Linked DNA regions of Arabidopsis thaliana. The protein of the gene in region 2 interacts with the protein of the main gene of each other region in a pairwise test. Each region holds a gene or a part of one and is shown on either strand. Other genes may lie near its edges.

Region 1 (16,002 bases), on a different chromosome or scaffold from region 2:
AGATTGATCCTTTAGAAAATATTTGATGCAGCCATCGTTGAAGAGGAGAACGTTTGAAATTTCCTCTATTTGGCACTGCACTAGTTAGGTTGTGATGTGGAAAAACAAGTTCAACTAGTTTGTTTCTTCAATGTGTATCTATGAATTCATTAAAATCTCCGCCTTCTTTGTTTCCATTTTTTTTATGACCATCGTAGTTTTTAATTACCATTTTCGTCTCTGTGAACGCAGATCAAATGACCTCCAGCTTAAGGGCTACTGGTAAATGAAGTTTGATTCTCAATATTTTGGTCTCTAGGATTTCCTTCTTTTTTCGACTGTTCCGTTTATGGGATAAGTAGGGGCTGATATAACTATAGACATTAAGGAAATTGGCAATGGGAGAGACGGGAGATGATGCTGGGCCATCAGAGCAAGGACCTTCTAATCAAACCTGGTGGCCTTCAGAATTTGTGGAGAAATTTGGTTCTGTTTATCTGGGATCGCAAGAAGAGACATCTAGTACTAAAGACTCACCTAGAAATCTTGGGCAAGATGGGCTGCCATCTAGTACTGCTTCGAATATTCTTTGGAGTACTGGTTCACTTTCTGAGCCCATCCCAAATGGCTTCTACTCTGTGATCCCGGTAAGCTACTTTTATTTTGATATTAGATCTGTTCAATGATTTTTTGAGTGAAATTCATTCGAACTCGATTAACTTCTGTTACCTGTCAAGAATCTTTTTTATTTGCTTCCTTTGACAATGTTTATATTTCAATCTTCTACAGGATAATAGATTGAAGCAGCTATTTAATAACATTCCTACATTGGAAGATCTTCATGCTCTGGGTGACGAAGGTCTTAAGGCTGATGTGATTCTAGTTGATTTTCAGAAAGATAAAAAGCTTTTCAGGCAGAAGCAGTTGATTACCAAACTTGTCAGTGGATTGAACTCAAAGCCAGCTACTATTATTAAGAAAATTGCTGGACTGGTAAGAGTATTTGACATATCTTTTATAATCGACATGCTCAAAATTTGTTTCATGTATGAAATCACTTAATAACCATATTGTTTTTCCATTTTAAAGTTGCATGCAAAAACAGTGATCATAAATGGATAAAAATTGAGGTAGGAAGAGTTGTGACTAGTTGTCTGTCTAATGAAAAGTGATGCTGAGAGTGTCCGTTATAATACTAATAGAAGCCACATTGATCTTAACGTCTTCTATGTTTTCAAAATTGGTGAAACTATCAATAGAATCCTGCTGTGGTTCAAGATAAAGTTCCCCAGACTATTTAGATTCTTGCCTTCAATCTTTCTCTAATTCCACTTGTAAGTTGTGCTTACTTGGGAAAAGCGTTAAATTAGGAAATACGTATCTTTGTTTGCTTGACTTTTTCTCTTGTATCCCCTATTAGTCTATACAGGGGACATTGAATTGTTATTGATGCGGTAAGAGCAAGCATTTCATAAATCTTGTTAACTCCTTTTACTTATCTGAAAACCTTTGTCGAAATTGGCTGGCAGGTAGCAGATGTTTATAAGCAATCAACTCTGCAGAGTCCAGCAAAAAGTACGCAGTCATTTGAAAACTGTGGTATTCAACTGCTAGGACAGATCAAGCATGGTTCTTGTCGTCCTCGAGCAATCTTGTTCAAAGTCTTAGCTGATACTGTTGGCCTGCAAAGTCGACTTGTAGTGGTAAGTGCTAAGTACCATACAAAAATGTGATCAGTGGGCTTGAGTATCACTCCATTTTGGCTTGTGATTGATTAGGTTTGATTAATGTTATTCTCGAAAAAAGTATTCATCGTGGCTTAAATTTCTGAATATTTTGATCACCTTTTAACATCCTTTGCATTATGACTGATTTGTTTGATCAGGGTTTGCCAAGTGATGGAGCTGCTGAGAGTGTGGACTCATATAGTCATATTTCTGTCACTGTTTTGCTGAATTCTGTGGAAATGCTGGTTGACCTAATGCGATTTCCTGGTCAGCTTATTCCTCTATCAACCAAAGCAATTTTTATGAGTCATATCTCAGCGGCAGGGGAAAGTGATTCTGCAGAGAATGACTCTTGTGATTCACCTTTGGAGCCAAACAGTCCCATGTTTGGTTATCCAGAGAAATTTGACCATGAAAAGTAAGTAGATGTTGAAGTTTTAAATTGTAAAATCTCACTGCATGAACATGCAGGATATAAGTATAGTGTGTACCATATTTTACTGCACCTTCTGTTCAATACTCAGTGTTTTGTTGTGCAGAGTTTCTAATGATTGGTGTTGTACAGTGCAGAAAAAGATGAAAACCTTTCGTTGCACAGGAAACTGGATGGGTCTCCAAATACGTCTGGTCCACCATCAAGGAATATGCTGTTACGATCTGCCTCTGCGCTAGAGAGGAAATTAAGGTGATAAGCCTACTTGTTATTATTATTTTTTTGTGCTAACCAACCCCAGGTTTGAATATAGCTTCTGGTAAACCAAGCAGTGGAATAGATGACCGTATGTCATTAGTATTTATCTTTTATTCTTCAGTTTCTCACAGAGCGAGTCAAACATGGCTAACGAGTTTTGGCGGCAGAGCCGGAGGAAGGTCATTGCTGATCAGCGGACTGCTAGTTCCAGGTACTCTCATCCCCGTTGAATTGTATATGTATATGCATTTTTGAACCAAGTTCCAATCTAATTTCTTAGATCGTTTTTGATATATCTCGTCTGAAGTCCCGAACATCTTTCCTTCCGAGCCCGTACAAAGTCCATGCTAAGTGGCGACAAGAACTTGGCACGAGATTTCACCGGGGATGTTGCCACATCAAGGTTCGTTATGGTTTTTGTCCTTTGTAACTTAGATTATGTTGGAGAGGTCTTTGCAGACTTGATTTGAGCTTTTAGTTTTATAAATATGCAATATATTGCTGCAAGAGGGTATGTTGTTTGTTGGTGTCTCGTTTAGTGCTTACCGAGTTCTTTTGTCTAGTTTTTGTGGGTGTCAGAGAACCTTGTTCTCATGCCTAAAGTTTGTTAAAAAAATGCTTATGTATTCAGTTTTCACGTGCAGCTGCAAATCTGTTGGAGGAGCAAAAATGGAAACTAAGAGAATAAGGAGGAGAAGCATCAGTATAACTCCTGAGATTGGCGATGATATTGTCAGGTGGGTGTTTAGTTTATTGCTCATTGAACTTCATGTGCATGGCAAAGCTAGTATGATGTTTTTTTTAACTATCTGCATTTTGGGTTACATATATAGTTCCCCTCATAACATTCTTCTCTGACTTCAATATATAATTATTTCCAGTGATAGGTTGCAGTTGTATACAGTTTCACCATATATTTTTTTCTCAGTTGTGATTTCATACATGATGTTTAGGACAAAATTAATGGTACACTCTTATGGTAAATATTAAAAGAATGCCAAGAGAGGGGCGTTCTTTTTCTAACTTGGGATCTCATACATCACTGCACGAGCATGTGATTGTATAACATTCCATATATGGAACTAAAAGTTTTAGCAATTGCAATGGTTGTTACCTCTCATTCAGATTTATTGACCATTAACTATTTGGAACACGGAGCTTCAGTGTTTTTGGTAATTATTATATTGATAACTTTATTTTTAAAATTACCTGTTAATCTTTATCAGGGCAGTACGAGCGATGAATGAAGCCTTGAAGCAGAATCGCCTCTCAAAAGAGCAAGGGGATGATGATTCATCTCCTAACTCTCCAAATGACAGAACCGAGAGCTCTCATCTCCAGAAAAATGTACGCTAAGCTTATTAATATACATCACTGAAATATATTGAGAAATTTGGCTATGCTGCTTGCTTGGAATCATAATAGTTTTACTGAAAACAAAGAAACTTGGGCTGCAACAGAATACCAAACCGTGTCTCTTTTCTCGTTGACTAAGTTGAAAGTGGAAGTCCTGAATTTCACGAAATGAAAGAAAAATCCTAGAATATGCTGCGTTGTGATTTTTAGGAAATAAAAATTTCTGTTTCAACAACAACGCACAATGATCAATTTCAAGTAGATGTTTATCAAACATGCTTAAAATTATGATTCTTGGAAACGTTCACTCATTTTGGATAACGACTTATAAATTTGTGGCTTAACTAGACTTCTCTGCTTCTAGGTCTCTGGTTTTCATCTTGATGCCCATGACCAAGTTTCTGGTGGAAGGTCGACACTTTCAAGGGAACCACTAGATCCGCAGAAGGCAATCTCACTACCTTCTTCTCCCCAGAACTACCGAAGCCAATATGAACAGAGTGGATCGTCACATCGCAATATAAGCCACATCTGGGATAAAGTATTGGGATCTCCCATGTTCCAGAATAAGCCATTATTACCTTATGAAGAATGGAACATAGACTTCTCTGAGCTGACTGTTGGGACACGTGTCGGAATTGGTTAGGATCTTTAGCTCAATGTTTTCGAATTTATGTGTTCTTAAAAAAATTGTTGGCCATAAGTTTCCTTAAGAGAAACGTCTAGTTATCTTACTTCACGATCCTTACCCTCGTATTTATCTATCTTCAAAAGTTTACTTTTTTTTTTTGAATTAGTAACCCATCTAAATCTTCTTCGTTGATTTTTCCTTCCAGGATTTTTCGGAGAAGTATTCCGTGGGATCTGGAACGGGACAGACGTTGCTATCAAAGTGTTCCTTGAGCAAGACCTTACAGCTGAGAACATGGAGGATTTCTGCAATGAGATATCAATTCTTAGGTATGTCTATAGGCTTTCTCTGTTTTATTCAAAATTGGCAATAACGTCTTTACTTGTCTTCTGACTTTCTTTCCTGCCTTCTCCTTCTGCGTCCAAATAACCACTAGCCGACTTAGACATCCCAATGGTACTAAACTACTCATCTATCTCTATGAATTTTCACTGTGAGATTTTAGTATATGTTTTCATCAATGCATGCATCTTCGACTTCTTGTAGTTATACTGTTCCTTGGAGCATGCACAAAGCCTCCACGATTATCACTGATCACTGAGTACATGGAAATGGGATCTTTGTATTACTTGCTCCACTTGAGTGGACAAAAAAAGAGGTTAAGCTGGCGGAGGAAGCTAAAGATGCTGCGGGACATTTGCAGGTAATTTCATCTTCCATACAAAACCGTGTATCCTTCTTTCCAACATAGTATGTAGTATTAATATGGAAAATTTTGGTTTGAGGAGAAGGCAATAACACTTCCAAATAGGACCTGGAATTGTGTCTCGATGAGAAAGTTTCGTAATCATCTTTAATTAACAAACAGCGTTTAAACTTGTAAAATGTTGCTAGGGGATTGATGTGTATACACCGGATGGGGATAGTACACCGTGATATAAAGAGTGCAAACTGTCTTTTGAGCAACAAATGGACAGTCAAGATCTGTGATTTTGGGCTGTCGAGAATAATGACAGGGACAACAATGAGAGACACAGTCTCTGCAGGAACTCCAGAGTGGATGGCTCCTGAACTTATCCGCAATGAGCCCTTCTCAGAAAAGTGTGATATCTTCAGTTTAGGTGTAATAATGTGGGAGCTATGCACTTTAACCAGACCTTGGGAAGGAGTACCGCCTGAACGGGTAACTTAACTGAACAAGAAGAAGACTCTTTAGTGACATATGTGTATATATAACAAGTTTCCTCATATTTCTTCTCAGGTTGTTTATGCTATTGCTTACGAGGGAGCTCGGCTTGAGATTCCTGAAGGACCACTGGGAAAGCTTATTGCAGGTCTTGTGACTTGTCAAAGTGTTGTTATTTCGTTTTTCCTGAAGCTTTGTTTGGGGTTTATGGAGTATCCTTTTCTGATGTGTTGTCTCTTGTTCGCAGATTGTTGGACAGAACCGGAACAAAGACCGAGTTGCAATGAGATACTCTCTCGTTTGCTGGATTGTGAGTATTCGCTTTGCTAACTTTCTCTCAATCATATTTTCCTTCTGTGAATATAAAACTTTGCAGCGAGAGAGGTTTTTGTTTTCTTCGTTTCTTTTTTTTGAATATTGTTGGCTTTCTCCTTTGAGTTTGTACAAAAGAACTTTGGCGCTTTCACATCCACAAAAAGCTTTGTGGAACTCTTTTCCGTTTAATCATTTGCAAATTCGTAAATTTCAAAACCTCTGAAACAAAAAAGTAAGTCTTATAAATTTTACAAAAGGTGAGAAGAGTTGCTCATTCTTTCAGTTTAAATGATCAAGCTTGCTACTCTTTTTCGTACCATAAGGTTTGTTCCCTGCTTTGCATTTGCTATAAGAAAATTACGGACAAATACATGTACTTTTCGTTTATATTTCGTGCCTTAAGAAATGAAAAGGAGCTTTGATTGACAAAGAAAAAAGAGCAAACTACAGTTTTTGCAGAACTTCTAGTTATTTAAAGAAAAAACGATTTTATGTTCGTAGCCGTAATTTGTCATTACCTATTTGACAACAACATACATTCTAGTACCGAGTTTAAATTCGGTGATATAACAACGATACTAGTAGTTCGCGTTACCCATTTAGCTTATCACCTAAACACACAAAACTTAGAATAACTTATTCTAATATAGCAATGTGTCATTAACTTACAAAAATAGATCGTTTGATCATATTCTACTTGGCAGTACTATCATTACATTTTACGGAAACTAAACCAAACATCTAACGAGCCATATCCGATTTTTTAATTAGCTTTGATTTTTCTCTACAATCTACAGTTTCAGAAATTTCACCATGCTATAAATTTGTCAATTACATACTATTTAGGATGTGATACCAATTCATTTGGAACCGTTATCATATTCTAATTAAGTTAGACAACAAAAAAAAAGGAAAATATCAACCAAAACTTACATATTATATTACCAACGATTCACCCAAAAAAAAAATATATTACCAACGATTCATAATGAAATTTAATTAGAACTACCACACATAATATTACTAATTAACTTTAGACTTATCAAATTGCATATTAAAATGAATATTTAAAGCTTTTGTAAGAAAAAAAAATATAGAGAAATATTATCTTGTTCGGTAGTCAACATTAACAAAATAAAATAAAAATTAAAACGTTTTAGCTGTTAAAAAATAAAAACCAAATTAACGATGTATATAAATTAGCTAGAGCTGGCTCGTTTAGTCTGGCTCACGGTTTAGTACATGCACACAAAGCAAAAACGCTGGTTTGTCTTTTTAAAAAAAAAGAACTTCGTTTCTCTTCAATTCCGTTACCGTCACTGTCACCGTTCACCTCCGTTTATCTCATCCTCACCGTTCATCTTCTTCGATCTAACTCGCCGTCGTTCACCTTATAATGGACACCGTCAACGATTCCTTTTCGCCGGGATCTTCCCGACCTTCGCCGGCGACGCTTTCTCGTGAAGATTGCTGGAGCGAGGAAGCGACCTTCACGCTCATCCAAGCCTGGGGTAATCGCTACGTCGACCTCAGCCGAGGTAATCTCCGTCAGAAACACTGGCAAGAGGTGGCTAACGCCGTTAACGACCGTCACTACAACACCGGTCGAAACGTTTCCGCCGCCAAATCGCAGCCGTATCGCACCGACGTTCAGTGTAAAAACCGGATCGATACTCTGAAGAAGAAGTACAAAGTCGAGAAGGCTAGGGTTTCGGAATCCAATCCCGGTGCCTACATCAGCCCTTGGCCTTTCTTCTCCGCTCTCGATGACCTTCTCCGGGAAAGCTTTCCGACGTCTAGTAATCCTGATTCAACTGATAACATCCCGCACCAGAGGCTATCACTTCCGATGTCCATTAATCCAGTTCCGGTCGCTCCACGATCGGCGATCCCCAGACGTCCGGCGACATCGCCGGCGATTATACCTCACGCCGGTGACGATTTACTCGGATTTCGCGGGAATCTCAACGCATTCGCGGCAGCCGCAGCGGCGGCGGCGTGTCCGGCGTCTGAAGATGACTCGGAAGGTTCAAGGTCTAGATCGAGCGGTCGTAGCGGGAGTAACAAGAAGCGGGAGAGGAAAATTGAGAAGAAGCAAGGCTACAAGGAAGTTGCCGACGCAATTGAGAGGCTTGGACAGATATACGAGAGAGTCGAGGAGAAGAAGAGGAAGGAAATGGTTGAATTGGAGAAGCAGAGAATGAGATTCGCTAAGGAATTGGAATGCCATAGGATGCAACTGTTCACGGAGATGCAGGTACGTCTTCATAAGCTCCGGCGTACCTCTGGCTCCAAAGGACCGACTTCCTCCGCCTCCGCCGGTGAGACCTGAATCCTTTCTCTCGCCGTATTTCGTAATCTGTTCAGAATTCTATGTCTTTCTCCATTGTTTAGCTGTGTAACAGTGACTATAGCATAAGAGTAGAAACAAATTTTACCTTTTTACTTGTGATAGTCTCTGTGCCAACGACGGCTATAATAAACCCAATCAAAGTACAAGAACAAATTGATATCGCACAGAGATGATGAATCTGAACAAAAATAAACTAATTAGTAGCAAGTATTGGTATTCATGGTAAGGAGGAGGTCCTGGTTACATTTTTCTCCTAGATGTTGTTGCTTTGTTACTTGTGTTTCTTGTAATTATAGTCTGAGTGTGGAAAGTTTTTCTACAATGACTGATGTGAGCATTAGTTGGGAAGCAGTTCATGAGCTAGAAACTTGAATCTGCTTCTGTTTGTTGTTAAGCATGAGTGCTTTGTGAAGTGTTTTGAGTGTGATGCCCAGTAAGTTTTGAGTGTAGAGTAGCCTTTTTGTTGGTTAGTTGATTGAGAAGATTGTGAGTTTACATGCTAACTGCTTCGAAAGTTAGGAAATAATGGGTATGGATGTTTGAAAAGAGAATGCATGATATGTGGAAGGATTTTTCGGATGCATCAACCATTAGTTTCTGACATATAGTCTCAGGAGACAAAATTTGATTTTTTTTTGGATGCATCAAATCTTTCCTGCAACTTGGCTATGGCATTACACGACAGACATTTGTTTCTTTCGTTTTCGCTTGGTCCATATTTCTTTACTTGTTAGTCACCTGCTAATTTGATGAATTCCTCTTTGCATTACATGTTTGACCACTAGAACAAATTATCAGCAGCAGGTCTATGTATGAATAATAAGTGAACTTTTTCTGTTTATGCAGCTCTTGATTATGGGATGATGGATTTCCCTAGTTACTTCTAGAGGTACGACTCCTTTATTTATATTTAAAACTCCCTAGTCGATCAAAACTTTGCCTATGTACAAAATGTGTAGACTTGTTGGGCTAAGTCGTTGGTTTTGTTTGCAGCATCATGAGTTTGTGATTGTAGCCATTTTGATGAAGATGAGAGAAAGTCAGCGTTCTTCCACCAACCAATAGAAGATATGGTAACAAAGAAACATGAGTTTCTCTTTGTTTTGTAAATTTTAACCCTTTTAGAAGATTCCGATTCCAACCCAGGATTGAAAAAAAAATTGGTGACGTTATATTGGTATATCTACACAATGAAACAGTACAAGAAACAGTTTTCAGCAAAATTATATTGGTTAGTATTGTTTGGTATTTCTTAGTTTGTGTTCTAATTTATGATTTAATGAGGTGGAAAATAAAAAAAAAATCTTCAGGGATATACCGCTATATCCTAGTAATTCATTATTTATCTATTACAAATCTCAAGTTCTCAACTCCATAACATGTTAAGTTTAAGAGACTTTAATATGAAATGTTAAGAACTTGAGATTCATAACCTTTGCCCAAAATGTGAGGCAAATCATTTTTGCTCTCATTGAGACTTTGTCATAGTTTGTGTTCTGTATTGGCGCCTCAAATTCCTTCTATGAAACTATAGTTTATTTGTCAATGGATATTTTATTGAAAGCAGTGTTATTACAAGTAACCCAGCCCACCAGGACCCATTTGTAATAAGTAAGAGTTTCTAAAACAAACAAAAATAAGAAAACCAAATGAACCATTAAATTGGGGCCTTTTTGCATGAACGATAATTGAGAAACATGCATTTTCCTCGGATTAATACAATCGGAGCAGGTTTCAATATGATAATACAGTAAAGCAAAACAAAAGAATGAAAATTTCAATTAACAAAATGGCTCTTTGAATCAATTTACGTTCGTGAAGACTAAAGATTTGAAAGAATGAGAAGAGAGATATGTTATAAGAGGAAATGCGTAACAGAGTCCTCTAGTAACTGATGACTAGGACATACCATTTCCTTCACTTTCTCTCCCTTCTTATAAATCTTAAACGTTGGAATTTTCTTGATGCTCTCTGCTTTCGCCAATGCCAAGCTCTCCTCTACGTCCACCTATAGACAAACAAACCCCGTTAAAGCGTTAGACCAAAAACGATAACCATTTTGCGCGATTGAGCATAAGAACAAGTGACTTGCCTTGAAAAAATGTACTAATGGATACCGTAAGCATAAAGTGTTGACGAATGGAGATATTGCTTCGCTTTGCCGGTTTGATGATGATTTGAAATGAAACACAGAGATTCCTGAAAAATATTTCCATTTTTTTTTGTTTAGCAAAGAGAGGAATCTTGAAACTAACACTTGCAAAGTGAGTTAGCTAGTTTATACCGGGCAGTGATGTTGCGGTCTTGAACTTATCTAAGGTCGAAACTTCTTCAACTTCGTTATTGAATCCCAAATATTTAGGTTCTTCGGATTTGTTCGATAGAGCGTTCCTTGCTCTCTGTAAAGACTCAGCAACCTCACTGTCTCCTGGAAGTTCCTTTCTCAATACTTCATAATCTCTGACCGCATCCTCCCATCGGCCAAGCTGCATTTAACATTTGTTAATCCAAATACTTAATTAGAAACTCGGTTCAAAACCATTCAGTGTCTTCAATCTAACCTTTCCATACGAAGCAGCTCTTCGGAGAAGAGCTTTGGTGTAACTAGGCTGAATTCTTAGCGCTTGATTACAATCATCAACAGATTTCTCCCACATACCGAGTTTAAACCAACATGCCGCTCTATTACAATACAAAACCGAATTGAAAGCATCCAACTTGAGTCCGTCCCCATAAGCCACACTCGCTTCCGAGTATCTCCCCGAACTAAAAAGCTCGTTTCCTCGGGTACGAGCTTTCGCCACATTCTTCACATTGTTTAAGACCGATACTACCTCGGGACTATTGCTATGATCAATCGTCATGGCTCTCTCCACCTTTACAATCGCATTCTCAAATCTGCAACAAACCTAACATCTCTACTCACTCACCCAAGAACCAAACAAGACTACTAATAAAGAATCAAAAACACCATTCGAAGTTTAAGCATTTCGAAGCTCACCTTCCTAACGCCATATCAACTTGAGCTTGAACACAGAGCACATAAGCATCACATACTATACCAAATAGTTTCTCAGGTGGTTGAGTATGGTGATGATCCAATCTCGGAATGCTGGATATACACAAATCTGAATCCTTTATCTGATGAAGCCGCAAAAAGGCTTCAGCTTTACAAGCTACAAGCTGCACAAGATCAAACCTCATTGTTTAAAAGATAAAGTCTTTTCGCTGATAATTCAACCACAAAAGAGGCAATCAATGCCACTTTTTGATCTCTAACCTGAGGAGAAGAATCAGCTCCATTTGCAATGGCTGCATCGATTTCGCTAATCACCGTTCTCCAATCACCGATCTTTCGAGCCTCCGTACACAGTCTGAGATGCTTCTCAAGCGTCTGCAACCTCTGCAAATCAGCTTGATCGGGACATTGTCCGGAAACACAAAGATGACGTCTCGCATTCTCAGCTTCTCCCAATCTAAAACCAAACCAATCAAATACTAATCCTTTTTCAATCAAAACTTTTTAAAGGATAGAATTTTTTTTACCTTAGATAAAGAGAAGCGAGTCTCTGATGAGCTCTAGCGTAAGAAGGATCACATCTCACAGCTTCAAGGCATTCTTTAACTGCTTCTTCTAACCTCCCTGACGCAGCCAACGCTGCCGCACGATTGCTTCTATAAGCTGGATTTTCCGGTGACAATGAGATAGCTCTGTCGTAAAGAGCCAATGCCTCGGCGTAATTCCCTTTCCTATACATTACGTTACCTGCCTTCTTCACCTCCTCTGAGTCACTCATTTCCGCCGCCGCTTTCGTCGCGTGACTCACCTTTCCGCCGGTGCGGATGATGTTTCCGTGGCCGTAGTTGGCCGTGCCTGTGCATAGAGTCTCGGGTCTAACGGAGGCTCGTGTAGCCATTCCGGTTTTTAAGATCCTTCCCGATGGACAAATGTTTCCGGTAGGTAAAACGCCGGGGTTCGGCGAAGTAGCCCCGCTTCCTCCGCCGCGAGAACTGTTATTGTTATTGTTCACCGGAGAGAACCCCAAACCGGAATAAATCAACGGCGTTCCAGCGGAAGCGGATCTTCTGTGACCCGGTTTCAAATTCCGGTTCACGGATCCGGGTTTAACCGGACTGGTCTGGCTTAAACCGGAAAGCTCGCCGGAGTGACTCCGTCTAGCAAACTGAGAAGTGACAGCGGGTTTTCCGGAAGCAGAACCAGAGGAGCTTGAACTGCTGCCACTAGCGGCGGGAGTGGCAGCGGCGGAGGAGGAGCCACGAGGCCTCAACGGAGAACCAAAATCGAGTTCTCGGAAATCTGGTTTGTTGATGACGTCATCGTCTCGTTGGAAACTCAAAGAATCACGGAATTTACTGGTAATGGAAGGTTCTAGCGAATGTCTTCTATAATGTGACATCTTCTCGAAACCAAAGCCTCAGAATCAATAAACACAGAGAATCAAGAAGAAGAATTGGTGAAGAGAGAGAAGAGAGATTGTTGTGATATATATAAAAAGGAAGCAGAAGAATGAGAATGAAGATGTTGAAATCAAAAATAATTTTAGATTACCGTTAAAAAAATATTATTAGTTTAAGTAAAACGACTAATTGTCAGATTAAGACATTGATCTTTCTTAGTGTTCATCACGAGCTTCTCTTATCTTCCCCGACTTCCGTGTGTTTCACGGCTGCTTGTCTGCTAAAAATTCGGTAATTTTATGCAAAATTTTTATTAAAAAAAATATAATCATTTTAGATATCATGTACTATAGAGACTGACTGTGTCTGTGTCTGTATGTAATGGTTGACTTTAGAGTTTGTTTATGTTTGAACAGAATCTAGATTGAAACTTGTATTTGCCGACCACAAAAAAATCCGGAATTCATAAAAGTCAAAATAAAATGTTATCTTGAATTTTTTTTTTGCGGTAAATACGAGATCTTACATGTTTATGAAGCACAGTCAGGAAAGAAAAAGGAAAAAAAAAACTCAGAAGTGTCTTCTTCTTGTTGTTGTATCTAGGTTCAAACAATTACTATGCAACCATATAATATGTTCGGTGTAAATACTACATAAGGACAACTTCCATTAAGAATCACTCTTTTTTTTCTTTTCTTTTTGTGAAAGCAAATGATGGAAAACGAATCAAATTATGTAACGCATAGAAAATAAATGGATCGTCATATGTATTTATTACAAAATTTTAAATTAATACTGTTGTAATGTGTAATGAGTATATGCAGCTTGAAACGAAAATGCCACCTCGGATTTTGACCCCTCGTATTAGAGTCAGAGACCTCAAAAGGGTAAAGTCAACTTTTAGGCCATAAAATAAATTTGGATTTTGAAGTTTGCGTGTGTTTTTTTTCCCACTACATACGACTATCAATTTATGTGCTCATAGAAATTATTATATATATATACACTTACATTGATCTAAGTTAAAAATTATATTCGTTTGCACATGAAAATGGGAAAATACAACATATTTTTATATGTAGAGTAGGGCAAAAGAACAGAAAAGAAAAGCAGAAAAATAGGGAAAATAAAGCAAAAGAGAAGTGAAGGCTCATTTACTGATGCATAGCTGGCATTTCACTCGAAAAAGCCTGCTAATTTTTATCTTCTTTCTTGGATTAATAACACAAATATTCATTTATCAAAATTTAATCAGTGTTCTGATATATTTACCATTTCTATATATACTCTATGGTTCCGTAGCTTACTAAAATAAATGGATGTAGAACGAAGAAAACAGAAATATTAGGAAAGCGCTATATAGGGGTAAAATAGTAAATATAGGACGACGCTGGCCACGTGCGAGAGTGACCATGCCAGCTGTTTCGCTACAGTTGCCAGCTAAGCACGCCGAATAAACATTTTAACGGAACCGGACGGAATATTATGAAAGCGGTCCCCCAATCCCGCCGAACCGACGATATGGGCAATTTCTCCATACCGGACGGTCCGTGACATGATTGTCTCCAAATTTTGGATCAATCGAACCGGCTTTTTTCAAACCTTGACCCAAAATAGCAAGTATAATAAATAGAAATATCAAGTACATTATTCATAAGAAATAGAAAATAAAAATTTGGTCCCCGACTAAAAAAAAAAAAATCATTGACCGAGAGACACCTTTCACTGTTTCACACTCTAACAATAATGAACATTTTAAACTCAAATATCGAATTATTCACTCCAAAAAATACATCGAAAAAAGTCACACCCAAGTAGAAGTGAGGCACTAGTTGAAAGATCCCATAAGCTAAATTTAAATCTGTGATACTTGTACTGGTGTTGGCCGCAACATTTGACCCAATCATAAAAACGACAAAGAGGAAATGGTGAGTAACATAACATTTCAAATATGGAATTGAGTACTTAATTAGCTGGTAATTACGGCACTTGACATCTTCTTAGACCGTCACTAAATTAATTGTTAAGTTCATCATACTCAGTAAACAAAATAACAAGATTTGGGTTCAAAGAAACAAAACAAAGGAGAAATAATTAAGGAAAGACAAAAACAGAAGGGAAAAAAAAAGAAGAGAAAATCTCCTTTTCCCTCCGTTTGGGGAACACACTTTATCTATAATTAAGTTTAATAATTTGTTAAGAAAATTAATGGAAGTGTGATGCTCGTAATTTCTTTCTCAAGGCCTTAATTATTGTTGGTGCTGTGCTGGATGAACATGGACCCACATTTGTAAGATTCGAAGGTGACGTGTGCTATATTTCACGATCACTGTGGATGAATGAGAAATGGTTGCACTGTTGCGGAAAAGTTTCCCGTAATCGCGTAGGAAATCGATTTTTTTTCCAGTGATGCTTTTGCCTTGGTCACTTGAAGATTTCACCAAATGACGATGTTAACTTATTAGTCGTAAACTCTGCAGTATCTGTCAATTTAATTTTAGTTTTTGTTAAAAATATTCACACATATATAGAACATATACATGCAAAGTTGCAAACCCAATAACTGGGTCATATACATTATATTAAAGGAGAAACTATTCGTTCTAATAACTTATTCAAATGTGGAGTTGGAGACATTTTTTATTACTGAAAAAACTACTTGTTTGAAGAATCATTCAGAGTTTCACACACTACAACGATCTAGGCACCTAAAAATAAACATATAGTTCTAGCAATTATTTATCTAAGCATATCACATTGTATATTCTGTTTTGGTCTAAAGGTATTTGTAATTGAATAGAGTAAATAAACACAATGATCCCTAATACTAAATATACAACGACAAATAAACCACGTATGGGTGGCTATTATCTGGTTTTCAATATTTGTTCTTCTTATTTTTTGTTTTGTCAATATCTGGTTTTCTAATTATTTGATCAATAATTTAAATTAACGACAAACTACGCTTAGCTAAGCTCGATCCTCCTTATGGTCATTAAGGGTATCCAATGTTCCATCATATTCATTTTTCTTATTTTAGTTTCATAACCAAATGATGTCAGTGCAAATACACTAAGCAAGAATATATGTAGATCGCATTACCGTCCAACTCGCTTTTTTTTTTAATAGAAATAAAAATGTTGCACGTTTAATCGAGACTGCTAGACAGTGTTAACTATATTATCTGATTCTAACAAGATTTACTTTTTGATGTACAATACAAGTATGCGAAAACAAAATACATATATATTAGATTTGTTCCAAAGATGTTGCTTGAATTCAAATGATTTATTAATTTATGTACCAATTAAATTGTATTGTTTTAGTAGTATCGCGTCATGGTTG
Region 2 (16,006 bases):
ACGTGGTAGGAAAAAGAGTGGTCGCTGTCCAATAAGCTAATAATATTATTTGAAAAAAAAAACAAATACTAACCTGACAAGTGATGGAGAAGCTGTCTCCTCCTTTTGCTTGCTTTCTCTTGAAACTTCAAAATCAAACAAAACCCCATTCACCCACTCTTGACTCTCCCACCACCACACGTGGTTTTCTCCTTTCTTGTCACGTGACGTCATCTGTTATTGAATCGTATATTTGTTTTTTTTGTTCTTTAAGATTAGTCCGTATACTTACTATTTACAAAATGTTTTGCTAATGGTTCAAGTTTTAGTTCCTTTTTTAGCAAGGTATGAGGTTCTTGTCCTAGATTATTTATTATTATTGGGGTATTTCTAAAAGATAGTGAAATAATTAAATTGTCAGAGATTCAGAGCGCATTGTTAAGTGACTGTGTACAATTATTGGTTTAAATAATATGACATTATACTAATAGTATTGAAACCCTATGTAATGTACTATATGCTTCATCATGAATACGATCTTACACATTCATTCAATTTTTAAAGTGGGGGAACTTCTTGGGATTATCAAAGTTTGTCTTTCACTTTATCTTTCTTTCTTTCTTTCTTTCTTTTAAATCTTTTGCTTTATTGTTCTTGTCGTTCAAACCCCAACGAATATTTGCCGGACACATTTTTCTTGGATAGTAGTATAATTTATTTAAATTAAGTAACACAAAATCAATATATTTGTGAATTTCCTTTTCTGTTTTTTTTGATAAAGATATTTGTGAATATTTTTTTAATAAACCCGTTTGTTTTTGTAATTGGGCTACAGGGCTTGGACCCAAAAACCACAGCAAGCCTATTCGCAAAGGCCCAATGCTTAGGCGAACGAAGAATCGGCGACGATGACTGTTTCGTGCTCAAAGTCTCCGCCGATCGTGACTCGTTGTTAGAACGGAATGACGCCGGAGCTCCGGCGGAGGTTATACGCCACGCACTGTACGGATACTTCTGTCAGAAAAGCGGTCTATTAGTCTATTTAGAGGATTCGCACCTCACTAGGGTTATGACGATCTCGCCTGAGGACGAGGCGGTTTACTGGGAGACGACGATCGGAACAAGCATCGGAGATTACCGTGACGTTGACGGAGTAGCCGTCGCGCATTGTGGTCGTGCCGTCGCGACGGTGTTCCGATTTGGGGAGACGTCGTTGCAGTATAGCAGAACGAGGATGGAGGAGATTTGGAGGATAGACGACGTCGTTTTCGATGTGCCTGGTCTCTCTTTGGACTCCTTTATTCCTCCCGCCGATATATTTGAAGATACTAACCCTAACAATAATAATATTTACAGTATTGTTAATTCCCGATGATTATGTGGACTAGTTTAATAACCAGAAAACAATTTTATTGGTGGGTTAATTCGTTGATGGTATATGTATGTACATGTTTGTTCTATAAAATCTAAAAATCCATGTTTTGTTATTTTGGGTTGTAAGCTTGTAAGATTATGACGAGTTCTAATATTGGATTGGGTTGGAGAAATCAGAATCGTTCGTTTAAAAGTTATTGGATTTTAAGTAAAAACCATTCATTTTCCTGAAATTAAATCAAGCAAAAAAAAATCATACAAACTAACTAAGGCCTCAGATTTCCCTTAATGATACCCATATTATTCCTGGTACAAGAGAGTCAAATCAGAACCCACGACATGAGTACTCTAATTTTTCTCCATAAATTTCTGAATAAAACCCTATATGCGGAAATTTAGTGATATGAGCAACCAGTCAAACAATTTCTAAGGTTAACTTGGTTACTAAAAGTCTACGATTAATTCTCAAGATCGGAAATGGTCACAACACGAAACCAGAATCGTCATTACCGCCAATCGGATTGATGATTCTCAACTAGGGATTTTCCTTTTTCGTACTAGGGAGGATATATAACATTCTTATTGGACTTATCTTAGTGGGCATTATATGGAAGCCCAGTCTGATTCTTCAGCGTAAACAAGAAACTGATGCAAATGGGCTTTTCTTCTCTATTCTTTTTTTTTTTTTTTAATGTAACAAATCTAATGATTTATTTTTCTTTCCGTAATAAAAATATATGAATAGTTATTTGAATTTTTTGGAAAATACTCAAAATAGGTTAGAACTTAGAAGTAATGGAAAAATGACGACAGTAGAGAAAGAAGGGACAAGAAAAATAGATGCTTCGGGAATGTACTTTGTTAAGAGAGCATTCTACATCAACACATACCAAAAATAAAGTATCATTTTGAAAAATATAGAATATCAAAAAGAAGTATATTATCTTCTTCTTCTTCTTTTTTTTTTTTTTTTGGAAAACAGAAGAAGTAAGGGAGTAGAAAATGGAATCCAAGGTCGAGATCGTAATGAGGTGCCTACAGAGGATTTGTATGGAAGAATGTGCATAGACCATCCAAGACCGTTACCTTTATTACTTTATTTGTTTATTATAAGTACTTTAGTTTGCTTAACAACCATAATAATTACCATATGATATGTGTACAAACATTAGCTTTACTATTAGCCTATTTAAAATTATGATATACAAGTAAAGCTACGATCACATGCACGTTTATGCATGTGAATGCGAAAAAAAAAAGTAACAGAATGAGATGTTCAGATGGATATATATTAAAAAGCACCGAATAGTTATAATAATTAACTTGTGGTTGGTGTGATTTTATTGTGAAATGAATATTCACAAAACATGCATCATCGTCATTTCGTCGGATCCACTTTGTATATAATGCATCTTCACAATTAAATTGATTATTGTACCATAACTAATTTATTGATAAAGTATATGATATTTCAAATGTATCCCCAAATAATAATTATTTTTAGTTATAATTTATATAGTATTTTTATAATAATAAATAAATAAAAGAAATTTATCTGATTTATTTTTTTTTGTTTTTAATTATTATTACATGGTCGTCTACTCTTTTTTGTCTTCAAATCCAATTAATTAAATAGAAGGAAAAAAACCGAGGAACGTAATTAGAGGGAATTAGTGGGGGCGTATGTAAAAGGAGAAGAGAAGCTTCCTCGAGAAGTGCATACATGGGAGTGCGTTAATATCTCTATGCTTCTCCTTCTTCTTCTTCAATTCTCTTTTTGCCTTTTGTTTTCCTCAGCTTTTAGAGAGAGTGAGAGAGACTGAGAGAGCTTTCTCTTTTACTTGCCAACTTGCAGTGATGACCAGATCTTTATATTTTCTCTCTCTGAACCCAACAAAGTTGATCAGTAATAATTTATATAAACATATACATATATGAGCCGTAATTTGTAGTTGTGACTAAATGGATGCATCGAGTAAGTAAAAATCATAGCAGAGCAAAAATTCTGAATTACAAACATTTTTTCCCGATGTTTGTAAGATCTATAACTAAGCTCCTGAAATTCAATTAAGAATGATCAGTGTAATAATTTTCTTTTGTATAAATATATGTCCTAATTAGTGGTCATATGAAGCAGAAAAGAAATAAAAGAATAAAGAACAAAGATATATACGGAAGGAAAGATAGATACTCAGTGTCGGTTAATTTCTCTTATGACAAGTTCTTTTATTTCTTTTGAAAAGGATCTTGTAGCTATCAATCTCTACATACACACTTACTTACATATGCGTACAACTGCATACACATATACATAGTAGTATCCTACAAAATCAAGTGACTATATATACATTTGAATCAAAGTTTACAGCTTTTCTTGGTGTTTGCATGTGGTTTTCCCAAAACCCTAAAAACCTTTTGCTTTGATGGGGATCATCATCATCATTATCACTTGCGCTGTCCTTTCTTTTTCGTATTTACTTATGATTTTTTTTTACCATAAACTTTATTTTTAAGTTTGATTGAAAATTTAGTTTCCCGATGCAGATATCCCATTTTAGCGTAATCATATATAAGGCATCAAGTACAAACTAACTTGAGATAGAAATAACTAACTCATGAAAAAGCAAAGGGCCCTTCAAAAGCTTTAAAATATCGTACATGCCTTGAAACATGAGCAACCTAGCTCTTAACACATAAATGTTTATTATTTGTCATATATACAGTTACGTTCATGCATGGGATATATATACTGGTTAAGGTAATATACATATGTACTGATTTATCATATACATGTACTAGATATACTTTAGTACATTCACATTTTATATGCCTCTAATTGGCAAACTGTCAAATATGAAAATCGTACAAGTATGTACATATGAAATAAAATTGCGGATGTAAGAAATTAAACTTAATTTATTTGAAATTGCCATTAAAAAAAGCTATCAAACATAGAATATGAAAATAGCTAGTTAACCATAAAAGGCAACTACAGATTTTATGTGGGTGATAAAAGAATAACAAAACATATATTCGGCAATTCTACTGAGACTAACAATGTAAAGATCAATCATCAAACAGTTGACTAGAAGAAATAAGTAACGAATAAGTACAAAATATATAGATCCTAAAATATTATAAGAACAGCAATAATATATAGTTTCCGTACAGATTATAAAACACGAGCAAAACTAATCCGGTAAACATAACAAAGCTTATATATTTTTTATTTTTTTTTGTTTTGTTTTGTTTTGTCTCATCTCTAAACCCTACGTCAAACTCACAATGACAAAACATATATATCTCGTTCTTACATTCCCATGCATCACTCATAGATAAAAATTAATAAATTGTATCACCCAAATGGCGAGTTTCTTCCTTGTATTAATCCACCATTAGGGTTCATCATAGGACTCAATGGTGATCTCCTAGGCGATGGCCTTTCCAGTAATTTCCCACCATTATTCCCTTCATCACCTGATAAACCTGATTTCCTTTCGTAGATCTCCGACAAAGAATCCAAATCCGTGGAGACATGTGTAGCCATCTGTATCTGAATTCTATGCTCATCATCGATCGATTGGTTTGCGGAAAGATCGTGATCTTGATCAGACCACATCAATAGTCCTTTCCTTACATCGTTACCAAAATTAGGATTAGGTCGCTTCTTCCCCAAGTAAATGTTGGTGTCTGCAGCATTGTTACCCGTGAAATGGTTCTCTATGTTTTGATGATGGAAGTTGTGATGGTCGAGGACTTGGTCGGTTGTGTTTCCATAGATGTTTAGGTCTTGAAACGGCGGGAAACTAAGAGGATGAGGAGGTGGGCCCACCGCTGCTGAAAGACTCGAACTTCCCAGATTACCCTTGTATCCTCCTCCGACGGCGGCTGCTGCGGTGGCGGCTGCCATGTTCTCACCGGCTAGGGTTTGGCAAGCTCTCTCCAAGATAGATTGCATGTACTTTCCTTGTGCTTCAATCCTCAGTTGCAGATGTCTTTGCACCTATAAAAATTGAATGAAATCATTTACTATATTTATGGGATACAAATTGATTTTGTACAAGCAGTTATCATAGAATATCTATAGGTTAATTAATTACCTCTAGCTGTTCATGCAACCTTCTCTGCACTTCCATTTGCATCCTGATCAAACCAACCTGGTGTGAGTTGCTGTAATATATATTAAAATGAAAGTTGAGAAAATTAACGAAATCTGATTAAAATATTACTCATTCATGTTGCGACTCATCATGCCAGAAGAAGAAGCTACGTTGCGCTGAATATCCATGGCAGAAGCTACACGTACGGTAAAAAAAATTAGAAGAAGACGGATCAAAGAACATATATATACATTAATACATATCTATATTATGGGTAACTTTTTTATAAAAACCCTAATTTGATAGAGAAAGGAAGAGTGGTCACCTCTTGAACCTTCCTTTGTGGAGTGATCTCCGTACTCCTTGTGCGGCTGCTTTCCAAGCCTGAATTTCTGCACCCATAGATCCAAATAAGTTGTTAGATTATTATATTATATTATTAAGTGAAAAAAAGAATAGAAAAGATAAAGAGGAGAGAAAATTAAAAGCAAGGAAGAAAAAAACCCTAATCTATATTTGTGTACATACCTGAAGATGGCTCTTTAGGTGGTAAAGAGTAAGACCCTTCACACCCATAACTCTCATAATCGTCTTTGGGGTCGCTTCTGCAAATAGAAATGATCAAAAACTTTGAAAAAACACATTTATAATTGGTTAAATGGATTGAATATATATTTGTGTATGTGTGTTCATACTGTCGGGGCCGCCGAGCTGAGCGACGGCGTCCACAAAACGCTCGTGGAGTTCGACGGTCCAACGCAAACGCGGTTTAGGGTCGGTGGTGAGGACAAGGCCTGAATCGCCTTGAACGCACATAGCTCTGTTCTCATATGAACCATTCATACTTGAAGGTTTCTTAGCATGGAACATTCTCTCTCTCTCTCTCTCTGACTCTCTTTCTCTCTCTGAAAGAGGGGATTCAAGAAACGAATGTGATGCAAAAATGTGAGAGAATACGATGCGTTTTTGAAGAGATCAGATGACGGCTTTTTTTTCTCTCTCTCGTCTTTTTTGTTTTGTTTGTAAATAAATTATGGTTTAGTTAAATATGTTTTATCGTTAGTAAGGAAGAGAACTAAAGTTTCAGACTAGTACACAGACGTTCCTTTGTGAAAAGATACTGTCGCTATCTTTTTCATTTGTGTTTTTTATCCTCTTAGCTTGAATACCTTTGAATTTCTTTCAATATAAAATGTGTGTAAAAGCCACTATACGTATACATTAAGTAAATCATGTCTGTCTCAGATTATTAAATTACTGCGCAAACTTAAAATAATAGTATATATTAGATATTAAATTGATATCTTTGGGGGAAATTGAATTTTGAACATCGGAGATCTCATATCAAAACGGTTATGGATGTGACGACGAAAAAAACAAAAAAAAAAGACGAAAAAAAGCGGTTACGGATGTATCTAATATATATGCATGATTTGTTGCATGATGGTTTTTATTTCTTTATTTCCTGATATAAACATTAAAATGACTTGAGATATCTAAGTTAAAATATAATTCACCTGAATCAAAGATATTGCACATCTATTATTCTTATATTTTTGGTTTCTTTTTCTTTACTACCTTATAATTTAGAAGTAATTTTTAAATCCAAATTTATCATACAATTGTTCTATATACTATTTTCTTAATCATGCTTGATTTGGAGTAAATAGTAATCAAAGATTTGTAAATATTTTCTTTATAGGAAAATATAAACTTTTAAAGTGAATATATTAAAGTTCTATGTATTCTATTCAATTAAGACCGCACGAGGAGAGTCGTATACTAGACTTATAGTTTGTCTACATCGTCATATATCGTAATTGGAGGCATACATACAAATATCTTAACGAAACAAATTCCACAAGGCTAGGGATTTTATCATTTATGGTAGGGTAAACCTTTTTGGCTAATTATGAGGTGAATATACAATTCTAAGCAATGATGAGCTTCGTTATAAATTAATAGACCGTATATTTTTGGAACAAATTTATTATATACATGCAATCCAAAACCGTTAGGTACGGTGGAATATTTGTCTACGACAAAAACGTTTTCCATTCATCGATTAGTAAAAGATGTAGTTTACATCCGCAATTAACTAGCTAGCAAAAGAAAAAAGAAACAAAAAGGTGAACAAACGAGATAATTAACTAAATTACTTGTATGGACACTACAAACCAGAAAATCAACTTTGTTAATATTGCCCTATTAGCTACTAAACTAGCTTATGTATAGAACGACGATGCATTTTTCAATATACAAACTAAAATCATATATAATTCATATACGCAACGATTTAGATTAACCCCTAAATTCAATTGCATGCATGTAAAATAAATGGTCAACCTAAATATATATGAGTGGGAGGTCCCATAGCATATTTACATAGAACAAGAATAAGTCAATGAATATGGCTGAGGCTGATATGCACACACAAAAAAGAGAGAATATTATCTAAGAATAAAATTTGAATTGAATCAGAAATTTATTAGAGGTTATATATTAAGTATTAATTAAGGGAAAGCATGTACATGTTAAAATGTAGACCAATACCAGTCAATGAATATTGAATTAAAACAAAAAAATTAACATAAGAATATGGAACAATTTTTTAAAGTTATACATATTATAAACACGGACTATTAATATGTGGAGAATTATGCATCAATGTGTAAAGATAGAGTTAACGTTGGGGACCTCTTCTTCTACTTATTAAAGCTCTTTTATTCTTTTTATTTTTACCATATGTTTTTCTTCTTTTCTCCATTTTAATTTATTGGTTAAAGCTTGCTGGGGCTATAACCTTTTTTGGCTTTTGTAGGACTGACGATTGTGCAGCTATACATGGTAACACATTTTTCAGATATTAATTTCTTGGAATAAATAAAAAAACAGTGTTTTTCTTTGCCAGAAATGTTAAAAATCTTGGCTGTGAAACGAATTATTTGTACAATAAATTAAATTAATCAATTACCGCACACAATTCTGACCAAGATAAAATAAGAAAATGGTTATAACTTTTGAATTTAAATATTAAATCAAAGTTCAAATTGCATGAGAATTGGAATCGATTCTTCTCCTCTTTGATGAATAAAGATAGATTCTTATTGCGCCAACAATATTAAAAAATGAAAATACAACTCCCGCGATAGATGCCAACCGTATAAACTTGGCCAGCCACATTTACATAGTTTACTAGACTTTTTATTTTTTCTTACCACTTTTTGAGTATAGATACACACATATATTATTCCTACTTATATTATCACGATATTTGTGTTTTCACAATCATCATCACTATTATCTACAAAATTGATTCATAGTGATATGATGCATATTAGCATTAGCAAATCATCCGCCCTAAAATCATTTAAGTTCTCATCTTTCTTTATTAATGTTTTCAATAATGATTTTAAGCTAAATTGTATTTTGCTTTGAAAAAAAGAAACCAAAGTTTTTGTTTTTAGTTAAACCAAGTAAAGCTAATGTTTAACTTTTAGCTAATTGTTGTTGAAGCAAACTAAGAGCTTAAAGAAAGAAAGAAATGAAATTAGTGACAATAAAGTAAGTCGGCTTATAAAAAAATAGAGGCCACAGTTGCTTGAACTTCAAGCATCTTTTTGTGATGGTGCTTTGGGATTTCTTCTCCGAAATGAATATATTCCTTCTAACCTTCTTATCTTTTCCCCACTTAAAAAAACTACAAACAAAAATAAAATCCCAACTTTGGCATAGAGCCATGTAATCTAACGCTATTTTGAAACATAACTGATCCAATTTTTTTGAATAATTAATATTTTAATATATAACACTAAATTCGATAAATCGATCGACTGTTAATAAGTCATAATCCTCCAAAACATTGTCACATGAGACATAAAGCGTTTATAAATAGTAATGACAAGATACTGATGAAAAAAGAAAAATAAACCCAATCGATTTCTAAAAATTGCTGATAAATGAAGCAAAGAACAACAACGTTTATTTTTTTATTTTTTTGGGTATATCCAAAGCAAAAATTGTCCGAATTACAAAAATTAACGTAAAACAAAGAAAAAAATAACGTAAACAAAGATAAATAAAATGGAAACCCCAAATTATTACTTAAAAATCATGCTAACAATTGGTCGTAGACCAAATCTTTATTTCTTAAGAAGTATCCTCCGAATCCTTATTATGTTCCACAGTAAGCTTTTATTAGAAGGATACGAGTGGAGGAGAAAAACTTACAATTTCTAAAGCTTTTCAAACAAACCAAATCAGTGTCTATTCATATCTCCCAAGCATACGTATTTGATCTGCGTCAAAGCCAAGAGCCCAGAATCAATAAATGAAAAGTAGTAATTTGCAAAACTTTATGCTTATAAACAATTCAAAAGACAGATTCGCATCGATAGTCTCTGTGTTATAGTTGGAGTTTGGGAGCAATCGCATGACAGGAAAATGTAAAACTAACCACCTATAAGGCTATAACCTTGCAGACTTTATTACGTAGATTTCTAATATTATATAAGACCTATCAACTGAAGCGAGTTCAATAAGAGAGAAATGAGTGTTGTGAGTTACCTCAAGGTATTCGTCCATACCATACTTGGATCCTTCCCTTCCAAGACCAGACTGCTTCACTCCCCCGAATGGAGCCACCTGCAATCAAAAGATGTAAGCATATGTATGGCTATAATTAGGAGAACGTGGTTCTTTCATCCCTGGTCTTACCTCTGTTGATATGAGTCCTTCGTTCACCCCTACAAGTCCATATTCAAGTGCTTCAAATACACGCCAAGATCTTTGGACACTGTTTGTGAATATATAAGCAGCAAGTCCTGCACACACATACACACACAAGACACATTTCCACTTATTATGTTAGCCTAAGACTCGACAAGTAAAAGAAAAAGGTTACCAAGATTAAATGAGGACAAACCTGCAATTGTGTCATTAGCAATTCTGATAGCGTCCTCCTCGGTTTTGAACCGAATAAGGGGAGCTACAGGTCCAAAAATCTCCTCCCTAGAAAAAGTAAATTAGTTCTTCTGATCACAAAAATGCGAGGAACACTATGTTTCTATAACTCGTTCTTTAGAGATACAAGAAGCTGTAACACTGCAATTATGTGAAATTTTTCAGTACTTACTTAGACATGATCATGTTATCCGAAACATCGCGGATAACAGTAGGCTCATAGAAAGTCATCCCTAGACTGTGCCTTTTGCCACCAATGATGATTTTTGCTCCCTTTAAAAAGAAGACACCAATAAATAAGATTTTACTTGAACAGAGTACTTGTGTTAGTATTGGCAATACAAGAATTGTTTTTGGCTGAATACAAATAGAATATATGAACTGCATTGCTTAGAAATCAAGGATTAGCAAGGATGCATAAGGTAAAATACAAACCTTAGAAACAGCATCTTGTACAAATGTCTCTACCTGAAATTATCAAGCATGAAGACTATAAACATTCTGTCATCAAACATTATTGTTGTGCATGAAAAACGGAATCTGCAAAGTATTATTAATAGAATGTACCTTTTGCACTGCTGCATCATTTATAAGTGGACCCTGTAAGAATTTTGAAGCGACAAATAGATTAACAGCAAAATAGTAGAGCACACAAGAGACTCAGTTAATTTTAAAATCAAATCGCTTGGGATGCTACTCGACAGAACGTAGAAATAAGGTACATGAACGTGAAATTCTCATATTTCTTGTAACCCCCTCAATCATCAAGGGTATAACATCACAAAGCAGAAGCATAAGATCGAAAAAGGACATACCTGGGTTGTCCCATCCCTAAACCCATCTCCTACTTCTAATTTTTGAACCGCTTCAGAAAAGGCCTCAGCAAATTTATCATAGATACCTGCGGAAAAAATATAATTATATTAACACTGGATGCAAGATCCTGAGGGGTGTGCCGAGTATCCCAATTCTTACCATCTTGCACAAGTACTCTGTTCGCACAAACACATGTCTGACCACTATTCCTAAATTTCGCTGCAAGCTGCAATCACAGATCAAATGGGTAATATAATGTTTTAGGGTATTGAAGATCCCATAGTGCACCACTAAGAAAATTGAGCTTGAAACTAAGAGCTGGGATAGGTGGATCATGGACATAAGTATCTATATAAGCAGTAAAACTATATACACATCTAGTATGGAAAAGAGACGGGATACTGTCAGTTCTGAGTAATTCCAGATGAATCAACGTTTTTGCATCTTTTGGATAAAGAAATGCCTTCAACCTTATGACTATTACTTACCGTTCCTTTTACAGCTACATCCAGGTCTGCATCATCAAATACTATAGAGGGTGCGTTGCCGCCAAGTTCTAGAGAAACCTACACCAATAAAAAAGAAGAGGTACCAGGGGGTATTCAATCTAGATTCTAGAGAATATTATTTTAAATAGCATGATATCGTTGCTTAAGTATACCTTCTTGACGGTAGGTGCAGCAGCTGCCATCAACTTCTTCCCAACTGCTGTTGATCCCGTGAACGTGATTTTTCTCACCTGAGTAGCACGAGAAACAAAAGCAGTCAATTAATAAGGATACTTATCAAAATTCACTACTAGTGGCATAGATACAAATAACAGAATGTACACAAATATGATTAGAGAAACCTGTGGACTCGTAAGCAAAGCATCCCCAATTTCAGGAGCATTTCCCATGACCACATTAAGTGCCCCCTATTGAAAATAATAATGCAAATGAAACATGAAGTGTTACAAATACAAAAAAAAAAAAAAAAAAAAAAGAGCAAAACCCTAAAGAGATGGTCTGCCCAAAGAGTTCATTAGCACAAAAGAAACTTCGTAAAAAACTAGCCTTTAAACCACTTAATCCTACATCAATGGGTCCATACATCAGATAGTAGCCACATTGACGACAATACAAACTCTTGGAGATGGGCTGATCAAATATTCAAATCAGATTACATGTAAAACGGAAAGACTACTGTGTTCGAACTTAACACATTATTGGTTATTTCCCTGACATGAGGAAATCCATCTAGATGTGACCAGAGACGCTAGTTGGTTGTATAGTTCAAGCCTAATATAAAAGATTACCGGAGGAACTCCAGCTTGAAGTGCAAGTTCAGCCGCAGCAAGTGCTGTTAGGGGCGTAAGTTCAGATGGTTTAACAACCACCGTGCATCCAGAAGCAAGAGCAGGGCCGACCTACAATACCATTTACCATCTACATCAAATTTAATGAAAAAAGTTCTACATACTCACTGGGTACTAGGCAGCTATTTACAGAAAGAAGAAGGTAAATTGGAATGGTAAAAAAAGCAAGACCTTCCGAGTAATCATGGCTAAGGGGAAGTTCCAAGGGGTAATTGCACCAACAACACCGACAGGCTGCAAAGAAAATCAAGAGAGTCAAGCAATTGAGATGTATAGTAAACACTTGCGATTACAAATACAGCCACATTGCATGGAAAAAAAAGTACACGAGGAATATCCACATATAAAATGGAATTCGCAAAGCAAGGTTAAGGTTCTCCAAGTTCATATCACATTGCTACAAGACTTAGAAAATTGCAAAAAAAAATTCTTGGGAAGGTGTGGGAATGCAGAGCCAAGTCACAGGTTTCCAAGCCCAGATAGCCTGGCAATTATTTAACTACGCACCTACAAGTTAAGCTTAGGGTGCAGAACTATGTCACTACAAAAAAGCTGCATGTATTAAATATAGAAGCATGAATGGGGAAACCTGTTTTAGAACCAACAGTCGGCGATCAGACAGATTCGGAGGAATTATATCACCATATACACGTTTTGCCTCCTCCGCATAGTACTCAATAAAACTTGCCCCATATGCTACCTGTAAACTAAATTGCAGAATCATATATTGCATTTAAGAAACGATTGCAACAGTTGAGACAAGCCTAAACAGCACATTCAATGTTCTCAAATAAAAAATGAATCATTAACCTCTCCGATGGCTTCCTTGAGTGGTTTTCCTTGCTCCAAAGTTATAAGTTGTCCAAGTTCTTCCTTGTGTGCAATCAGGAGGTCATACCTGTGTTTGGTGAAATGAAGTGGCTCAGAACCTTATAATCCTAAACATCCCCATCCAACACTACAAAAGTAAAAGAGAACGCATTGCTACGGGATAAAAGATTGTACCATCTCCGTAAAACTTTACTCCTCTCTCCAGCAGTCAATCTGCTCCAAGCTGAATGTGATAACATGTAAGAGCATTAGAGCAAAATGTTCAGCGTGAATAGAAGTGACCATCAAACATTGAGCAGGAGAGACGGAACAGTTTAAGGTAGAATTAAGAAGCTCGAAAAGAAAGAAGCTAAAGTAATGAAGAAGAGAAGCATACAAGTAAATGCTTCATAAGAAGAAGCAATAGCATCATTTGTCTCTTTTGTTCCCATACATGCAACATCAGCTATAATTTCACCGGTTGCTGGATTGTTAACCTGTCAGGAAGAAAACATGATGTCAACATAAAGCATTCCAAAATAACATCCCCAAAACAAAGAGAGAGGGTAAAAGGCAGAGTTGTATGACCTTGATTGTCTTATTGTCATACGAGTCAAGCCACTTGCCTCCAATTAGACCTTGAGTTCGTAATAGACCAGAACTCCTAAGCTTTTCAGAAACGCTTTGTGCGTCCATACTCATCTGATAATCAATTGAATTAACAGAGTATCATTATCATAACGTATTCACATTTGTTCTTTAACAAAAACATCCGGAGGAAACCCAATTCACTTTTCCTCCATGAGACCACAAGATCCGAGAAATACTAGAAAAACTGAATTCAGATATATAACCATTGTTCTGATTTTGAAACCACTCGATCCTTTTCTCCGTGAGAGACTGCGGACGAATCCACGAGTAAATATGTAAATACAGAAGAATCGATTGAGAAGACAGACGATTTACCTGGCGACACTGAGAAGAGACGAGGAGGAGGGAGGTATGTGACGAGATGAGCTTTCGACAACCGCCGATGGCTACACGCGCTGCTGCTCCTATTACCATCACCACTTCCCAAACTTCAATCGAACAAAGATGACGAACACTAGTGAGATCAGAAGCTGTGAAGAAGCTACTAGGCAACGAAATTATATGTTGTCAAGAGATTTTTTACAAGTAAAATATCTTCAAAATTGGATCCGTCAAAAATGACAGGTGGGTTATTTGACTGTATTCGAGTGGGTTAATTATTAATGACGTGTAATCCACGTGGCAGTTTAACCGCATTTGCCGGGTTTGTTCGAAAACTTCCGTTTTTTATTCTTTACCCAAATTGCCCTTTAAAAAATAACATAAAAATTGGCTTATTATTATTTTATTTTTCCCTCCCATGATAACAGCATTTGTCAAAGTCGTCTTTCTTTTTTCCTTGTCGAGAGTTTTGCTTCTTCATCTAAAAGATCTATACATCTTCCCCAAGTAGATATGTTTCATAAGCCTAACCTAACATTCTTCCCCTCATTCGCGTAGGATCTGTTCTTCCCAAAACGACTCATGCCGTCCATTCGATTCGGAATATAGTTGTAGAGGAGATTTCATTTCTAATCAATTTCTTCGGTGATGAGTTCCACCGCGGCATCTTCCACCGTCGGAGGAGGCGGATCGTCTGAGATTTCCGGTGTCAAAAAAACCTCCAAGCGACCAAAATGTGATCTTTCTATCTCTATCTATCCTTCTAATCTTCTGATTTGGTCGAACTTTTTGTATAGTCATGGATCGTCCTTAGAAATTTCGTCTTCTTTTTTTCTTTCTTTCCTGGAATTCGTATTGAATTGACAAAAATTTCTCTGTTGATGGTGTTGCTATACCTCGATCACCATGTGTTTTTGCATGTTTCTTTGATTTCTAATAGCATTCTTGTATACTCTGGGTTTGATGTAGATTCGTATATACAAGAGGTGTATAGGTTCATCAGCTTGGTTTTTCAAGTTGTCCTACACCGTGTAGTTGAAACTCACGTTTAGTTGTTGGGTTTTGATGTGACATTGGTTGAAATCTTTTGTTCGAAAACTTTAAACATTGTTCTCCCATTAAACAAACTGTATGGTTGCTTTGGATTCTCTGTTCTTAACTTCACAAGGAACCAATTTTCTTTACCAGATTCTAGGTTTACTCAGCAAGAGCTTCCAGCGTGCAAGCCAATTCTTACTCCAAGATGGGTAAGTTCAATGTTACAATAGTGGAAAAGGATGACTCTTACTCTTTTTGCTGTTTTCTTATTGTTCATGGCCATTTGCAGGTGATCTTGACATTTCTTGTCGCTGGGGTTGTCTTCATTCCCCTTGGAGTGATCTGCTTATTTGCTTCTCAGGGAGTATGTGCATCATGCTATTGTTTTTCTGCCTTTTCTAATGGTTTATTTTCCAGCTTCGGTTTTGTGGTTTTATTGAGGATATGTTTCATTCATACTTGAAGGTAGTCGAGATTGTTGATCGATATGACACAGACTGTATTCCAACATCTTCTAGAAACAACATGGTCGCTTACATACAGGGTGAAGGAGATAAGATCTGTAAGAGAACAATAACGGTACATGTCTTCTTCTATG

What was found.
Region 1: the proteins of APL (region 2) and AT3G58630 interact in a two-hybrid assay, tested with the Arabidopsis thaliana proteins (one large-scale study listed by BioGRID).

What each region holds. Positions count from the first base shown.
Region 1 is NC_003074.8:21,677,051-21,693,052, reverse strand, and holds AT3G58630 (sequence-specific DNA binding transcription factor), read left to right. Parts: upstream 1-7,013; 5' UTR 7,014-7,281; coding exon 7,282-8,206; coding exon of another isoform or gene 8,207-8,217; exon of another isoform or gene 8,218-9,084; coding exon 9,085-9,125; 3' UTR 9,126-9,127; intron 9,128-9,231; 3' UTR 9,232-9,523; downstream 9,524-16,002. Other genes in the region: AT3G58640 (Mitogen activated protein kinase kinase kinase-like protein), read left to right, coding at 378-626, 769-972, 1,509-1,682, 1,865-2,124, 2,272-2,391, 2,519-2,608, 2,705-2,800, 3,042-3,134 and 8 more; TTL4 (tetratricopetide-repeat thioredoxin-like 4), read right to left, coding at 10,094-10,246, 10,331-10,437, 10,523-10,724, 10,800-11,136, 11,240-11,421, 11,519-11,714, 11,785-12,656.
Region 2 is NC_003070.9:29,872,813-29,888,818, forward strand, and holds APL (Homeodomain-like superfamily protein), read right to left. Parts: upstream 6,468-16,006; 5' UTR 6,324-6,467; coding exon 6,149-6,323; exon of another isoform or gene 6,059-6,148; coding exon 5,982-6,058; intron 5,846-5,981; coding exon 5,779-5,845; intron 5,650-5,778; coding exon 5,583-5,649; intron 5,497-5,582; coding exon 5,454-5,496; intron 5,357-5,453; coding exon 4,709-5,356; 3' UTR 4,416-4,708; downstream 1-4,415. Other genes in the region: AT1G79420 (C-type mannose receptor (DUF620)), read left to right, coding at 815-1,354; ALDH5F1 (aldehyde dehydrogenase 5F1), read right to left, coding at 9,713-9,751, 10,020-10,097, 10,170-10,276, 10,378-10,463, 10,588-10,688, 10,851-10,883, 10,983-11,015, 11,231-11,316 and 12 more; ALIS5 (ALA-interacting subunit 5), read left to right, coding at 15,019-15,106, 15,559-15,617, 15,698-15,772, 15,874-15,987. UniProt on the Arabidopsis thaliana protein: Transcription factor required for phloem identity. Has a dual role both in promoting phloem differentiation and in repressing xylem differentiation during vascular development. Regulates the expression of the transcription factor NAC045 (AC A4VCM0).